Linked DNA regions of Tamandua tetradactyla. The protein of the gene in region 1 interacts with the protein of each later gene in a biochemical or structural test. Links are inferred from orthologs where the notes say so. Each region holds a gene or a part of one and is shown in the gene's direction. Other genes may lie near its edges.

The links.
Region 2: the proteins of SMURF2 (region 1) and SMAD2 form a complex in vitro, tested with the Homo sapiens proteins (3 studies listed by BioGRID and IntAct, with this or other methods). The link is inferred for Tamandua tetradactyla from reciprocal best matches to the Homo sapiens genes SMURF2 and SMAD2.

The regions. Positions count from the first base shown.
Region 1 is NC_135332.1:5,950,748-5,958,260, reverse strand, and holds the start of SMURF2 (E3 ubiquitin-protein ligase SMURF2), read left to right. Parts: upstream 1-4,433; 5' UTR 4,434-4,482; coding exon 4,483-4,534; intron 4,535-7,513. UniProt on the Homo sapiens protein: E3 ubiquitin-protein ligase which accepts ubiquitin from an E2 ubiquitin-conjugating enzyme in the form of a thioester and then directly transfers the ubiquitin to targeted substrates.
Region 2 is NC_135344.1:35,188,587-35,196,006, forward strand, and holds the start of SMAD2 (mothers against decapentaplegic homolog 2), read left to right. Parts: upstream 1-4,246; 5' UTR 4,247-4,346; intron 4,347-4,410; exon of another isoform or gene 4,411-4,450; intron 4,451-4,591; exon of another isoform or gene 4,592-4,688; 5' UTR 4,689-4,776; intron 4,777-7,420. UniProt on the Homo sapiens protein: Receptor-regulated SMAD (R-SMAD) that is an intracellular signal transducer and transcriptional modulator activated by TGF-beta (transforming growth factor) and activin type 1 receptor kinases.

The DNA.
Region 1 (7,513 bases):
AAGTAACATTTATGGAAAAGAGTTAGTGGTAGAAACAGTGGAGTATATACTTGAGACAGATGCTTAAAATAATGATTCAATAAAAGTGTCCAATTCTATGGAGAGCAAATTAGAAATCACAAGGGAATAAAACATCTTTGAAAATATTTTCTGCAATTTCCATACCCAATCAGAGGCATGTACAGGTACAATTTATGTTGGAAGTGGATTTCAATTTTAAGAGGAAAGAAAAGGGTGAAGCAAAGGGTGTTTTTTTTCTCCCTATTTTCTCAAAAATCTTTCTGAAACTATTGCCATGATGGAGACAATGCTGTGCATCTAATGCTGAAATTTAATCTAATGAAAGCTGAGCTTTCCTCTGGGTGATTTAGGATAATGTAATTGTTCTCAAAGTGTGATCCCAGGACTAGCATCATCTGGATCACCTGGGAAACTTGTTAGGGATGCAAATCCTCAGGCACCGCCCCGGACCAACTCAGCCAGAAATTTTGGAGGTGGAACTTTGTCTGGGTTTAACAAGCTCTCCAGGTGATTCTGATAAACTGTAAAGTTTGAGAATCACTGGGATAGCGGTTCCCAAACCTGTTTATGTATCAGAATCCCCTGTGTAGCTTTTTACAAAAGCTCCTCCGCTAGACCCATAGGAAATTCTGATTCAGTAGGTCTGGGCTGAGCATGGGCCCCTGTATTTTCAACCCCACATAAGCAGCTCCGTTGGGAAGCCGTAGATTAAAACGCGCCGCTTATCAAATTCAGTCCTGGTTGTAATAAGAGCCTTCCCCATCTTTCTTTCTTTTTTCTTTGTGGAAAGAGTCTCTTCTACTATACTAACTTAAATATTCTTCCCTTTCGGTATCTTCGGGGCCTTGAATTGAACGAATGAATGGCATAGTAATATTTTGCTGGGAGTTAGAAAATGGCCTTATCTTCATGTGTCTTTTCTTTATATGAATCCCAATGCCCACCCACCTTGTTCACTTTCTTCTTTGTCCTTCTTAAATTCTCCCTGTGATTTTGGTAGTTCCCTGTCAAAATGTACATTGTAATGTACATTGTAATGTACATTTTAAACATGTCCCAAAGGGGGAAACATATAAATGTATTTTTTTGAAAGTCTTCTGACATTATGCCCAATCTCAGGAGTCTGATTCTGGGCTAGCTGATGCCATTGAGCTGAGATGCATTCAACGTAATTTTCCAATTAGTGCTAATCTATTTTATTTTGTCATTTATGTGACTTCATTTGAAAATTTTACTTAATTTTATTTTTATTAAGTATTTAAAACCTGTGTCAAATAGTATTTAACATGGCAAGAAAAAGGATAATAATTAAATGCACATCTGTGTACTCATCTTAAGAGAAAGACTATTACTAGTATACTGAATGGGTTTAAAGTATTATTCTTATCTGAATCTTCTGTTTTAAACAACAGGATTTAAATTTACACAGCGGCAAGCCTAAACAGAGTCCTCCTCTGCACATTATGCATGTATACATTTTTCTGTGTCGTCACTGTCACATTAACTGTGAATGTACTGCTTTCAACTTCTCAATAAATTATGTCTCTCTTGGCCTCCCCCACCAGGTTCTGGAATCCTAACTATTATCATTTAATACAAATTACCTTAGTGGGTGTTTGGAACAAAGTGTGTGTCATAAGGATAAGGCATATGTGTATGTACACGTCCATTTGTTAAGTTTTATTGCCATTATCCAGCCTCTTAAATTGTGATATGAGCTATTCAAATTGAATGTGTCGCTTCAGATCTTTTATAGTACAAAAAAAACATTTCTAAAGGAACTTGTTCACTGTTTTGCTCATAGTAGGCACGCAGTATTTGTTGAATGAATTTCTAGCACTGTCCTTTATGTTTCTAGTTTGACTTCTAGAACTTTGCATAATTATTTGGATCACTTTAAATGGAAGGAGTGTAAGCCTGATGAGATTTCATCTGGAAAATGAAGTGACTTCATTGGTGAATTAAAAGCAATGGCTGACGGACTGAATTAGGATTAAAATATATTAGACTTTAAATTTAAAATAGCATAGATGCTTCAACAGTTTCTGGAAAATTAACAAAGCATGCAAAAAAACAACCCATAGTCACTATTTTTTTTAAACCTTTTTATTGTTAAATATAACATATATACAAAGAAAAGACAGAAAAGGCAATGATTTTCAAAGTATATGTCAAGAGGTCGATACAGAACAGATTTCAGAGTTTGTTATGGTTACCATTCCACTATTTCAGATTTTTCCTTCTAGCTGCTCCAAAACACTGGAGGCTAGAAGAAATATATATTTTTCTTTTTTGTGTGAAAAATAACATATGTACATAAAAGCAATAAATTTCAAAGCACATCACAACAATTAGTTGTAGTACAGATTTCAGAGTTTGGTATGGGTTACGATTCCACCATTTTAGGCTTTTACTTCTAGGTGCTCTGAGATACTGGAGGCTAAAATATCAATAGGGTGATTCAGCAATCGTACTTATTTGTTAAAACCTACCTTCTCTGTATAACTCCACCATCATCTTTGATCTTTCTCCCACTGTTTCGGGGTACCTGGGCTATGGCCATTCTAACTTTTTCATGTTGTAAGGGGCTGTCGATAATATGGGGTAGGGGAATGGAACTATATTTTCTGGAGAAGCTGGCCTTCTGCATTTCAGGACTTATCTGGTCCAGAGATCCATTTGCAGGTTGTAGGTTTTTGGAAAGGTACCCTAAGTGCATGGAACCTTCGTAGAATCTTATATCCCGCCCCAGAGGTTCTTTAGGATTGGCTGGAATGGTTTTGGTTGGGGGTTGGCAAGTTATGGTAGGCAGTAATGTCTAACTGAAGCTTAGGTAAGAATGACCTCCAAGTGTAGCTTCTCAACTCTATTTGAAGTCTCTCAGCCACTGATACCTTGTTACACTTCTTTCCCCCCTTTTGGTCAGGATGGCATTGTTGATTCCACCATGCGAGGCCAGGCTCATCCCTGGGAGTCCTCTCCCACACAACTGGGGAGACTTCAGTCACTCTTGTTTTCATTGTGCACAGATAATCTTGCATGTATACATGCAGCTTTTTAAACTATGTTTTTAAACTTTGCATTATTTCTAAACTCTTCCATGTTACATGACCTTCACAATTGTCATTTCAGTGGCTGCATAAAGTCTATCCTGTTGACTTAATATAATTTACCATTACGCTGATCCTTCATCCCCTTCTTTCGTTATTAACCGAATTTTGCAAAGTGCATCTTCTGTATAGTCTTTTTCTCTTTTTCAGAATTGTTTTTCAAAAACAAATTCCTAGGAGTGCGACTAATGGATCAAAGGGTAAGGTACACATATTTTTATTTCATTTTCTATTTTATCCTCCTGAAAAAATGCAGTTCTGTATGAAAAGTTTTTCATACATTGCACCCCAAGGTTTATCTTGTTAACAATCCTTTAAGTCTTTACCATCGACCTATCCTTGAACTATTACTGGAAAAAGAGCCGGAGCAGGTAGGTAACCTGATCTCGTACACCAGGTGAGTCCAGGATGGCGGCGGCAACTGCAATACCAGAAGCGAAGGACCCCTGGGGATTTGCTGGAACCCTCGGTGTGGGAATAAGTGTTCCTTCCTTCGCCAGAGGGATGCTAAATTCCCGGAGAGAACTCCCGGCTCTAACCTTGTTCGTCCCAGCCTCTGGAAGAGTAGTGGGGAGTCTAATAAGTGCAGTCCGCCTTTCGCAAACAAAAGCTCTCGTCTTTTAAGGGAGTTGGACACCAAGGTCCCTCCTGGTGCCACGAAGCTGCCGCCACCAACACTTTTCTCCTTTGTTTCCTCCCTCCTCAAGTTCTGCGTGGGACCCAGGAGGAAAGACAGCGTGCCTTCCAGCGAACCCCCACCCCGACAGCGGCGCCCCGCCGCCCCGCCGCCCTCACCCGGGCTCGGCACGCCCAGGCCCCGCCCCGCCCCCAAGCCCCGCCCCCCGCCCCCCCCCGCCCCCCAAGCCGACTAGTGGCGGCGGCGGCCCCGGGACCCGGTTCCCTCAGACAAGAGGGCGGGTGGAGGAGGAAGCGCCTGAGCCCCGAAACTCTGCTCCGCCGCCACCGAGCACCGCCCGCCTCAGCCGACCATCCGCGTCGGATCCTGGGCCTCGCCGAGCCGAAAGGTGGAAGAGGCCAGAGGCGGCTGCTTGGAGGCGCTGGCAGAAGCGGCGCGGCCGGCCGCGGCTGCTGCTTTGTTGTGCTGCCCGGGCAGAGGAAGGAGAAGTGGGAGGAGGGGGGAGCTCGGCGTCCCGCTCCCTCCGCGGCTCATGGCGACGACGCTCGGCACATCCGGGACCCTCCGGCCGCGGCGGCCGCGGCGCCGGCAGCTCGGGCCCCAGCCCCGGCCGCTGTGGTGACTCCGCCGCGCCTCGCCGTCGCCTCCGCCCCGCCCGCCGCCGGCCCCGGCCCCCGCGCCCGCAACCCCGCCGCCACCCCCGCCGCCGGGGACATGTCTAACCCCGGAGGCCGGAGGAACGGGCCCGTCAAGCTGCGCCTGACAGGTGAGGGAGGCGGGCGGCGGGACCCAGGCCGGGGCAGCCGCGGGGCGGGCGAGCCGACGGGGGGTGCCTGCGGGCTTGGGAAGGGCCAGGGTCGCGATCGGCGGGGAGCTGGAGACCGGAGGCGTGGGAAGGCCTAGGTCAGGGGAGAGTAGTCGGAAAAACCACTCGCTCTTGATTGTAAATTCTTTAGAAAGCCAAGGGTGACCCGGGGGTCTTCCGTAGAGGGGAGGGGTAAGTCGGTTTGAATTCTTTGCGAATTTGAGGTCGAAAAGTCTTGGCCGAGGATCCCTACTTCTCCCTGAGTCTGGGGGAGTAGTTCCTAGCTTGCTCCCCAGGTGGGGTCGTTGAGGGGATGAGGCGCTCCTGTGGCGGGGATTATTGAATCCGGTCGCTGACTGTGCGCAGTAAACACTCCTTAAAGATGGAGCGCTTAACGGGAGTGTGTGTGTGTGTGTGTGTGTGTGTGTGTGCGTGTGTGTGCGTTCGTTCCCTGGTTAACTTGTACACCAACACGCCCGCGTGAATATGCCTTTACTCTCTGCTGCTAGCCACAGCAGCCGGTAAATGAACCTAGTTTTGGGAAGAAGGAGGCTGAGATTGACTTTCCCCGAGTGTCTTCCTGATCCGACGACTCAGGTTCATTGACCACTGTGTTTTGAAAGTGTTCGATTGTAGGTTAGCATGTTTTGGGTTGTTCCTTGTAGGCCGCGGAACTTGTGTCTCATTTCTAACTCTAGATCTGCTTTAAAAACATGTCTTAAACAATTAAATTTGTAAGTATGTGCGCCTATAAACTTTCAAGAGAACTTTGTCTCAACCCACTCTACCCCCCTTCCCTTTTCTGAAGATTGCCAGTACAAAAAGAATTTCGGGAGGGGTTGTGAGATAGTTGTTACTCTTAAAAAAAAAAAAAGTGTTTGTGAGTCCAGGTGCATAAAACTTTAACATTACAGGTATATTTTGTTTGCAGTGCCAGTTTTGCTATTTTTATAGGGACATGTTACCCTTTTAAGGAAACATTTTTTTTGGTTTGAAAAGTGTAGTTGAAATCAGTATGGTTACCCTGGGTCACCATTCCCCATTAATAAGTTGTCCACGTTTATATTTCCATGTGTGGTGAGAAAGATGGTTTTCCTTACAGGACATGTGTGTGTGTGTAAGAATAAATTACTTATCTTTGCTTATACTAGACTTTGAGATATATTTGGACTAATTTTGTAGTTGAATACTAGTGTGTCACATCCCAGTCCACTGGCTGAACTTTTGAGATAAAAACTAACTTGTGGTGAATTTGGTATTTGATAAAGTAGCCTAAATATAGTTGGCTGTAATTTTTAAAATAACATCACTTTCATGACAGTTTTACTTTCCCTAGGGAAAATTACCAAGCATTATTAACTGAGTGGTTCTTAATTGAAAACCTGGATTGGGGAATGCATATCTCCCTCCTTCCTCCCATTCAGTTTCCTTATTTTCTTAGGGGTCACTGGAAACCTTTATAAGGGACCTTTGTTGCTTTAGAGTTTATCTACTGCTGTTCAGTGTCTGGAGTCAATCCTGTGCTTGTGATTATAGAAAGAACCTGTGACTTCCAGGTATGCTTTAAAAAGCATCAGAAATAGATTCTTGCCTATTTACTTTCCTTTCTTTAGCGTATATTCATACAATGAAAATGAGGGAGAAAACAGCGATTTTGATTTTCTGCAGATAAAGTGAGGTTTTAAATCTGAATAGATAGATCTTAGTGTTTTTCTGTGGTTTCCTTACTGTATATGATACATTATAAAGATTCACAAGTAAAGTTTATTAGGAGGAGGCAAGATTGTACTTGTTTATATTAAGGGGGTGGTGGAAGGGAGCTGCGGACTGATTTTATAGAAAGTAATTTTGTATTTTTAGATTTTAAGCACACAGTGTCTTTGGTTAGTCTCCTTAATTTTTGAGGTACTCTTAATTTCTTAAAACTAGTGGGTATTTATCTCCTAATGGTTTTGTCTTAAAATATGACAAAGTTTAAAAAGATGTTCTCCTCACTTTTGTTACATGTGGTGGATTCTCTTCTGTTTTGCCAGGAAAGTTAACATACATATATATATATATTTCCTTCATTTTCATCATTTACAAATTAGATGGTATAGATTTTAACAAACAGATCTCAAGAACTGCATTCAATTAGAAGCTTTTTAGGACATAAACATTAAAGGGTTAGATGGAAAAGATTGTTTTGACTGACTGGATAAATGACAGGGCTGTGTTTGATGTGCGTCCAGGAATTGGTCTGGAGCTGGTGCCCAACTTCTCAGTCCATCTTGAGAAGCCAAATAAAATATTTAACCTAGGCTTCGTTTTGTGTTTGAAAAAAAAAAAAGTAGTTGATTCTTTGTTAAGTAAGACCTTAAATGTTTGGCATACCTTTAGACTAAGTGTTTAACAGTTCATTTTATCCATGTTTCATCATAGAGGAAAAACCACTTAAAAAAAAAAGGCAAATCCCACAATAAATTTTTATTTGCTTTAAAATAATCTGGGGCTACAAGATGCTTAAAAGTACTGCTCTTTGCTCTAAGTTAATACCAACTAGTATTTTAAATTTATAGAGTGCCTTTGATTTCAAGGTGCTTTTTGAACTGTAGTTACTCAATTATATCTTTAATGTAGAGATGTCCCTTTACTAAAAGGTAAACAATTCTTGGATGGTGACACACACACATAAACCAAGGAGAAGAAATATTTGAGCCATGGGCTCTCTGCCACGGTAGACATTAGATTTTTCCACATAATTTCTGAAACTGCAATCAACTAGTGAACTGTTTGGTATTTGCTGTTTCTAAAGTGGGGAGGCTAATTTTTTTTTTTTTTTGATGGGATGGAGGGGTCCATGAGCTGGGGATAGAACCCTGGTCTCCAGCATGGCAGGCCAGCATTCTACCACCAAACAACCGGTGGCAGGGCTCATTTAATCCCAGGTTTGAGGTACCC
Region 2 (7,420 bases), on another chromosome or scaffold:
TTTATTCATTATCCTTATTTTTTTTTATTCATCTGTCCACACCCTGGATATAGGAGCATCAGACACAAGGTTTTCACAATAATACAGTCACATTATAAAAGCTGTATCATTATACAATCATCTTCAAGAATCAAGGCTATTGGAACACAGTTCAATAGAACTACCTGGATCTTTCCTTAAGATATAGTAATGCTCACTGTAACAATTTCCACTACGATGAACAAATGGGTCAGTAAGGATGAGGCAAAACTGTGTAGAACGCTGGAAGATGTTGCAGACCGAGGATATACAGCATTTTTCTGCTATACAAATGATGTATTTCACCTTCTTCAATTAGTGAGCATTTTAATAAGGATGAGAATAAGATGCTGTCCTTGTCCTCCAGGAATTTATAATCTAAATGGGGAGACAAAATATACACCCATGAAAAATTAAATAGCTGCTCAAGACTAAACTAACAGATCAAGGCATTAATCAAAGAGAAGTCATGTACACCATTCTGACCATAAGAAAGAGTTCAGAGGTGATATAAGTTTGGGCTGGGGAAGCCAGGGAAGGGCTTTAGAGATTTACCATAGAGGAAATAGATATGAATTATATCTTTTGAAAATGAACCACACTGAGATACAGTTTAAAAAACAAATCACACTACAGAAGAACTAATGATGAAATTTTAGTTTTCCACTCATGACTCTCAGGCTCTTTCTGAAAACCAATCACCATTACCATTTTTCTCGCGTCTTTCCAGTGTATTCAACTACCTGTAAATAGAGTCTGAATTGATTTTGATTTTGCAGTGTAATGCACAATGAAGGGTTAAGCTTGGTATCTATAAATATAAAAGTAAGACTCGTTCAATATAATTTATACAATAGAGACCTACTAAGAGATTTGAAGTACCCTAGTGAATTTCCAAGCTGATTGTTGCCATGGCAATCCCTGCCCCATCTACTTCAGTTCCTGTCTTGACCCACTTTGGTTTAGATGTTTCTAGCAGAGAGGACAGTTGACATGCTACCATATCTAAACCCTTGGGGACTGCATTGGTAGCCAGATTGTCTCTCATCCTCTTTCCTCAATCCTACAAATCCTAGAAGGCCTTCTAGAAAGAGCTGGAACCCAAAATCTGACACTTTGGAGAAATGGTCTAACTGAGACCTCAAGCATATTACCTATTGAACTAACGTACTCCTCCCCCTTTCTCTCCTCCCCATACTTGGAACAGATTCTTCTGGGGTCCTAGCCAGGTTTACTTTTGTTCCTACCCCTACTCACCCAGGTGGACATGGAAATCCATACCCTGCTAACATGGGAGAGACCGTTCATGTGACTCATCAGTTTAAAAAAAAAAAACTTTTATAAATTTTCACACATACAGTCCATACATAGTATACAATCAGTGGCTCACAATATCATCATGTAGTTGTATATTCATCACCATAATCATTTTTAGAGCATTTGCATCACTCCAGAAAAAGAAATAAAAAAAGAAAAAACTTATACATCCCATGCCCCTTACCTTCCCTCTCATTGACCACTAGCATTTCAATCTATCGATTTATTTCATCCCTTATCCCACCTATATTTACTTATTTTTTATAATTTCTTTTTACTCATCTGTCCATTTCCTGGATAAAAGGAGCATCATACACAAGGCTTTCACAATCAGAGAGTCACACTATAAAAGCTCTAACATTATACAGTCATTTCAAGAATCAAGACTACTGGAACACAGCTCAACAGTTCAGAGTACTTCCCTCCAGCCACTCCAATACACCATAAACTAAAAAGGGATTTCTATATAACGTATAAGAATACTCCCTAGGACAACTTCTCAACTTTGCTTGAAATCTCTCAGCCACTGAAACTTTACTTTGCCTCATTTCTTTCTTTCCCCTATGGTCAACAAGACTTTCTCAATCTCATGATACTGGGTTCCGGTTCATCCCAGGAGTCCTGTCCCACGTTGCCAGGGAGATTTACACCCCTAGGTGTCATGTCCCATGTAGGGGGGGAAGGCAATGAGTTCACCTGGAGTTGGCTTAGAGAGAGGGCAAGGCAGCTTTTTAAGGCTTTTTTATATTAAAACTGTTGACTTGCATTAATAGGAAGAAGGACCAAAAAACAAGCTACCTTATTTCAAAATTGAACGGCCAGTATTAGTTGTCATTTAACCGCCTCCCTTTGCCCTAGACCAACTTCCCCAGTGGCCGCTGGAAACAAGGCATAGGTGGGACTGCTCCACCAGTTGGCTTCCTGGGTCTCTTTCACTAGCTATTTTTAATAAGGGCTGAGTCAAGCTGCCTCTAAACTAACAGCGTAAGATACCACCCTGTTAGTAAATTTTTGGAGGAAGGATTTCTACTGAGTAGGCTCATCTTTGCATAAATACATGCAGGCAACAGAAGGGAAGGAAAATTAATATTTATTGACTTTAACTTCAAAGCACTATGCTACTCACTTTCATATTTATTAATTTATTCATCACACAATTATATTTAAGTAGATATCATTGCAAGTGAGTTCTTCTTCTCAAAGATTACAGACTTGAACAGAGCTGTACTCAAAATGACAATTTAACTCCAGGTTTCAGGCTCTTCGTCACTACGTTTCCATGAGAAAAGTACTTCCACGCATGAGGAGGTGGTGGAAATGAAAGAGATTTTGAAAGGAACTCTGGAAAACCTGTAAGACTCAGAGAAGTAACGGCTAAACATTTCTCCAGGTCCAGCTGAAGGCCCCTACTTCCGAGTAGCCTTCATTTCTGGGATTAAAGAGTACACCTTCAAAACGCTTAGTGTTTGAAATGCTCCTTTGGTACTTCTTGATTACTGATTTGTATTGCTACGGATGCTTTTCCGCTTGAGTTCCCAGTTAAATCCATGAATGATAACATAGAGTGCTGGACAGGAAGCCAAGAAAACTATGTTCTAGTCTTGTCTCTGCCACTTTTGTGAGATCTGAGGTTCTTTTCAACTTTAGTTCTGCGGTGCTCCCCAATTAAGAGAGAGGCGCTTAAGAAATACTTGACGTATTGTGTTAGGTTCAATATTTTCGTGAGCCGAGGTTTGGGTGTCCCTAAGCAATAGACAAATCCTGTCAGTCCTGGGCAGTGTGCAGCCTAAGAACTTTGCAGCCTTCGGTAGCGCAGAAGCGCTAAAGTCTGGCCTAGGAATATCTCAGTTGAAAGCACTACGGAAGGAGCGCCTGAACAGTGGAGAAATGAACAGCAAGGCAAGGAAACCCAACAATTCTGAGGCATCGTGCCGGGGACTTATCTTTTAGATTTCACAAAGACTGCACAGAGAGTGCATTAGTAGCATCATTTTTACCGAGGATGAAACTGAGATTCAGGTTAAAGGAAAACACCTGGCCCCCTCACGCTAAACGCAAACGGCATCCCAGGCTCTCGGTTTATTTACACTCGGACTCCGCCCCCGCCGCACAGCACGAGGGGCCCCGCCCACTCCCTCGCCTGTGGGTGTGTCCAGGCGCTGGCCGAATCCTAGGGTTTTCTTCCTAGCCCGCTTCTGTCCGTGTTCGTCCAAGCCTCAGGGCGGGCCCCAGCCTCCCCAAGAAATGAGCACGTGTCCACTCCCGGCTTAACTAAGGAAAGTGCACCAGGCGGCGGCCCCCAAGCAGGGCCCACCCCATGAAGCTGGGGAAGGGCGGAAAGGGTCCCGGGGCCGAGGCGAAGAGAGAAGGGTGGTCGCCGGGATTATTTTCCCAGCGCGGCAGGTTACGTGCCTTCTACTTCCTCCCTCCCCTCCCTGGAGTCTTTTCTGGGAGCGTGCCGGAGACGAAATCAGCCGAAACCGCTTGCGTCCAACCCCTCCTCGTCCCCAGCCCGCCCGGCCGCGCCTCGCCTCACGCTCTACGAGGGAGGCGGGACCAATCAGCGAGCGACGTCTCCCTTCCGATTCAAGCCACCCGACGCGCGGCTCACACCCCGGCTACCCCGCGCGCTCATTGGCTGCGTGGGCCGCCGGTCCAGTCGCGAGGGCGGGGAGGGCCGAAGGGAAGGGAGGTGGGGAGGTAGTGGCCCGCAACTCTCCGTGCCCTGCTCGCCCCTAGCTCTTCCCTCGGCGCCTGGCCTCCCTCCTTCTTTCCGCCGCTCCCTCCGTCTTCTCTGCGCGCGGAGCGCTCCACTCGGCCGGCGTTCCTCCGCCCTAACAGGCGGGTGGGGGCGCCAATCAGCGGGCGGCAGGGTGCCAGCCCCGGGGCTGTGCCGGCGAATCGGCGGGGCTCGCGGCCCGGGGTGGGAGGCGGGTCTACCCGCGCGGCCGCGGCGGCGGAGGAGCAGCTCGCCAGCCAGCAGCAGCGAGCGCCGAGCGAGCCGCCGGGAGGTGGGTACGCAGCGCGGCTGCGGCCGGCGACGCGAGGGCGGAGGGCGGAAGCGGAGGTGGGGCGGCGGGCGCGGCGGGGGAGGGCTCGGCCGGCCCGATGGCCCGTGAGAGGGATACGGGAGCGCGCGTGAGGGGAGGAGGGGCGGCGGCGGGACGCGCGCGTCCCCACCTCCTCCCTCCTTGGCGGGCGGCGGCCGTGGCCCTGCGACCCCTCCCCGCGCACGCCGGGCTGCCGGCGGGGCACTGGCCGGGGGAGTGGGGGGGGCGGGGCGGGAAGACGGGCGGCGGGGAGCGTGTTTTCAGTTCCGCCTCACGTCGACCATTCCCCTCTTCCCCTCCCAGCCCCCTCCATCCCATTCGGAAGAGGAAGGAACAAAAGGTCCCGGACCCCCCCGAGTCTCACTGGGCGGGACCTGGAGCCTCCGTCCAGGTAAAGCCTCGGTTCCTGGTGGGCCCTCGGGGCTAGGGGTGTGTTTGTGTTTGGCTTGGGTCGGTGAAATTCGCGTGTCACATGGCCACGGGGGTTGGGGGTTGGGGTGTGGCGAGGCTGGGGCAGTGGGTGCGCCGGTCTCTCCGGAGTGCGGATACCAGGGGGGCCAGGGACAAGCAGAGAGGGCAGGGACCGAATCTTACAGCTCGGCGCACTGGAGCTTCCCGGCCCAGCCTGGTCCGGGGCGGGGGCCGATCGTGTCCTTTCCCCTCTACTCGTAACACACTTGATGGTTTGCGGTTCTGATTTTTAAAGCCGAAGGGACATAGCTCTCTTCTTTCAGGAGTTGTGAAGCCGTGTTAGGACCGTGTGTTACTTTGCGTCCACTTTTTTCCTGGTCCTGTAACCTTTGTTAACCATAATACTCTCGGGTTCTGAATGGCTCTTGGGTACTCTTCTCACAAGAACACGCACACGGCTAATCTGTCGAGATCGTTTTTTACTCACTTGTGGAAGTTGCTCTGTGAGTAGACGCTATTAGTTTTTAGCACATGCCTTTAAAAAATAGGCTTATTGATTTCACGTATTTGAAACTTGGTTTTCAAAATTGCAACCTTAATCTCTTCTCTTCAGGGGAGTGCTGCCCTTGGGTCGCGTACTTTTGTCTTTACTTTTATGCGGTTATGGTTTCCTTTTGATCCCAAACAAAAGAAAAACAATACCTAGGTTGGTTTTGTTATTCGTTCCTCTCTTGACTCTTTAAAATCCAAATACTGCAGTTTTGTTGTCTTTATTTAAAAAACGTCTCCGGGTAAAATGAATCGTCCATCAAAATCATGTTTTGTTTGCTACAGTTTGAAGTATACTAGTTTGGTGTTTTAACTTTTAGAACTACATATGTAAAATAATTGTTAATAAATAAGTAAGTAAATAGTCTTGCAAACTTATTTGAAGTAATTTCATCTTTTCAAAAATGGTCCCAGAAAATGGAATTTCTAGAATTCTAAAATGATACTTTAATATTGTTTCCTTTTCATTTTCTTCTCCCTTCTGACATTTGAATTGAACCTGTATCACTGATAGTACCGATGTTTTCTTTGAACCTAAGAAGACAATAAATCTGCTATTATTAAGCCGAAAGTACATTTGCTATTATTGGAGTTTTGATCCCCTTAAAAAAATTCCCACTTACATAGAAGATTAATAGTTAAATGAAGTTTGAACAGTTTTCATGTGTGAATAAGTGAAGCCAATATAACCGAGAGATGGGAGGTATAAGCGAAAATGGATTTTGTAAATGTGTGTAGTTTGAGAGTTTTTCATTTGCCTTAGGAAATTATATTGGTTGTTTAAAGGATTTCCTCCACCAAAAGGTAATTTAGCACAGTTTTTACATTGAATTCAGAAAGTAAATTTTTAGAGTTTCTTGGTTTTCACCATGAAATTTGCTTTGTAGTTTGTAGAAAATAAAAATAGTGTATGTCTTTGAGCATTTTTAAGAAGAGTGTCCACCTGTATTCTATTTATTTATTTACTTTTTCTACATGGGCGGGCACTGGGAATCGAACCTGGGTCTCTGGCATGGCAGGCGAAAACTCTGCCAGTGAGCCACTGTTGTCCGCCCTCTTTTTATTTTTTTTAACCTGAATGAGAATGGAAGTTCATTGTCTTTTATTTTATCTGAATTTAAAAAAATTAATTTACTTTAAAATATTTATGTATAATAAAATTCACTCTTCTTGGTGTACAGTTCTGTGAACTTAGACAAATGTATCTTGTAGTAAACCACCCCCACACTCGAGATAAAGAGTAGTTCCATCACTCCTAAAAAATTCCCTAATACTACACCTTTATAAATCAGCCTCAACCCCTTTGAACCACTACGCTGTTTTTTAGTCCCATAATATTTGTCTTTTCCAGATGTCGTGTCAGTGGAATCATGTGTTATGTAGCTGTTTTAGTCCAGTTTCATTGGCTTACACATTTGAGAGTCATGTTATCAGTTTTTTGTTCCTTTTTTATTGCTGAATAGTAGTCTACAGTACATCCATTCATCATTTGAAGTACATAACATTCTTAATGTTAAAATCTATTGGATGTAATTGAGTTTAGAGAAATTCATTGGCCATTTTTAATTAATGTAATGTGATTTGAAACAACCATTTTAAAACTTGTTTTAGTAAGAAATTCTCAGGAAGTGCTATTTTTTTTTTTTTTTGGCATAGTTAGGCTCCAGGAATTGAACCTGGGTCTCTGGCATGGCGGGCAAGAATTCTGCTACTGAGCCAGTGTTGCACCGCCCAAGAGCTTGGTTTTTATACTTTTTACCAACACCTTAGTCTTGCAAAGAACTATGCAGGGTAGTCAGGTTTGGTATGTATTCCTCTTAAGTAGGAAAATTGGGGATGGCTTTATATGTTTCAAGCATCCACTTTAACAAAACTGCTTAATGGGAACAAAGGTGGTTTGGCAAAAGGTGCTTTTTAAATTTTCGTATTGTAAATATTAGAATCGTGTTGCTGTAATATCATTACTTTTCGTTTGAGTGGAAAACATTCAGTTTAGTTGTGTAAACTGCTGTTTGGAGACTTAGTGAATTTTTACATTTTGCAAATCTTTTCAATTTTGGCCTTTGGGTCTAAAA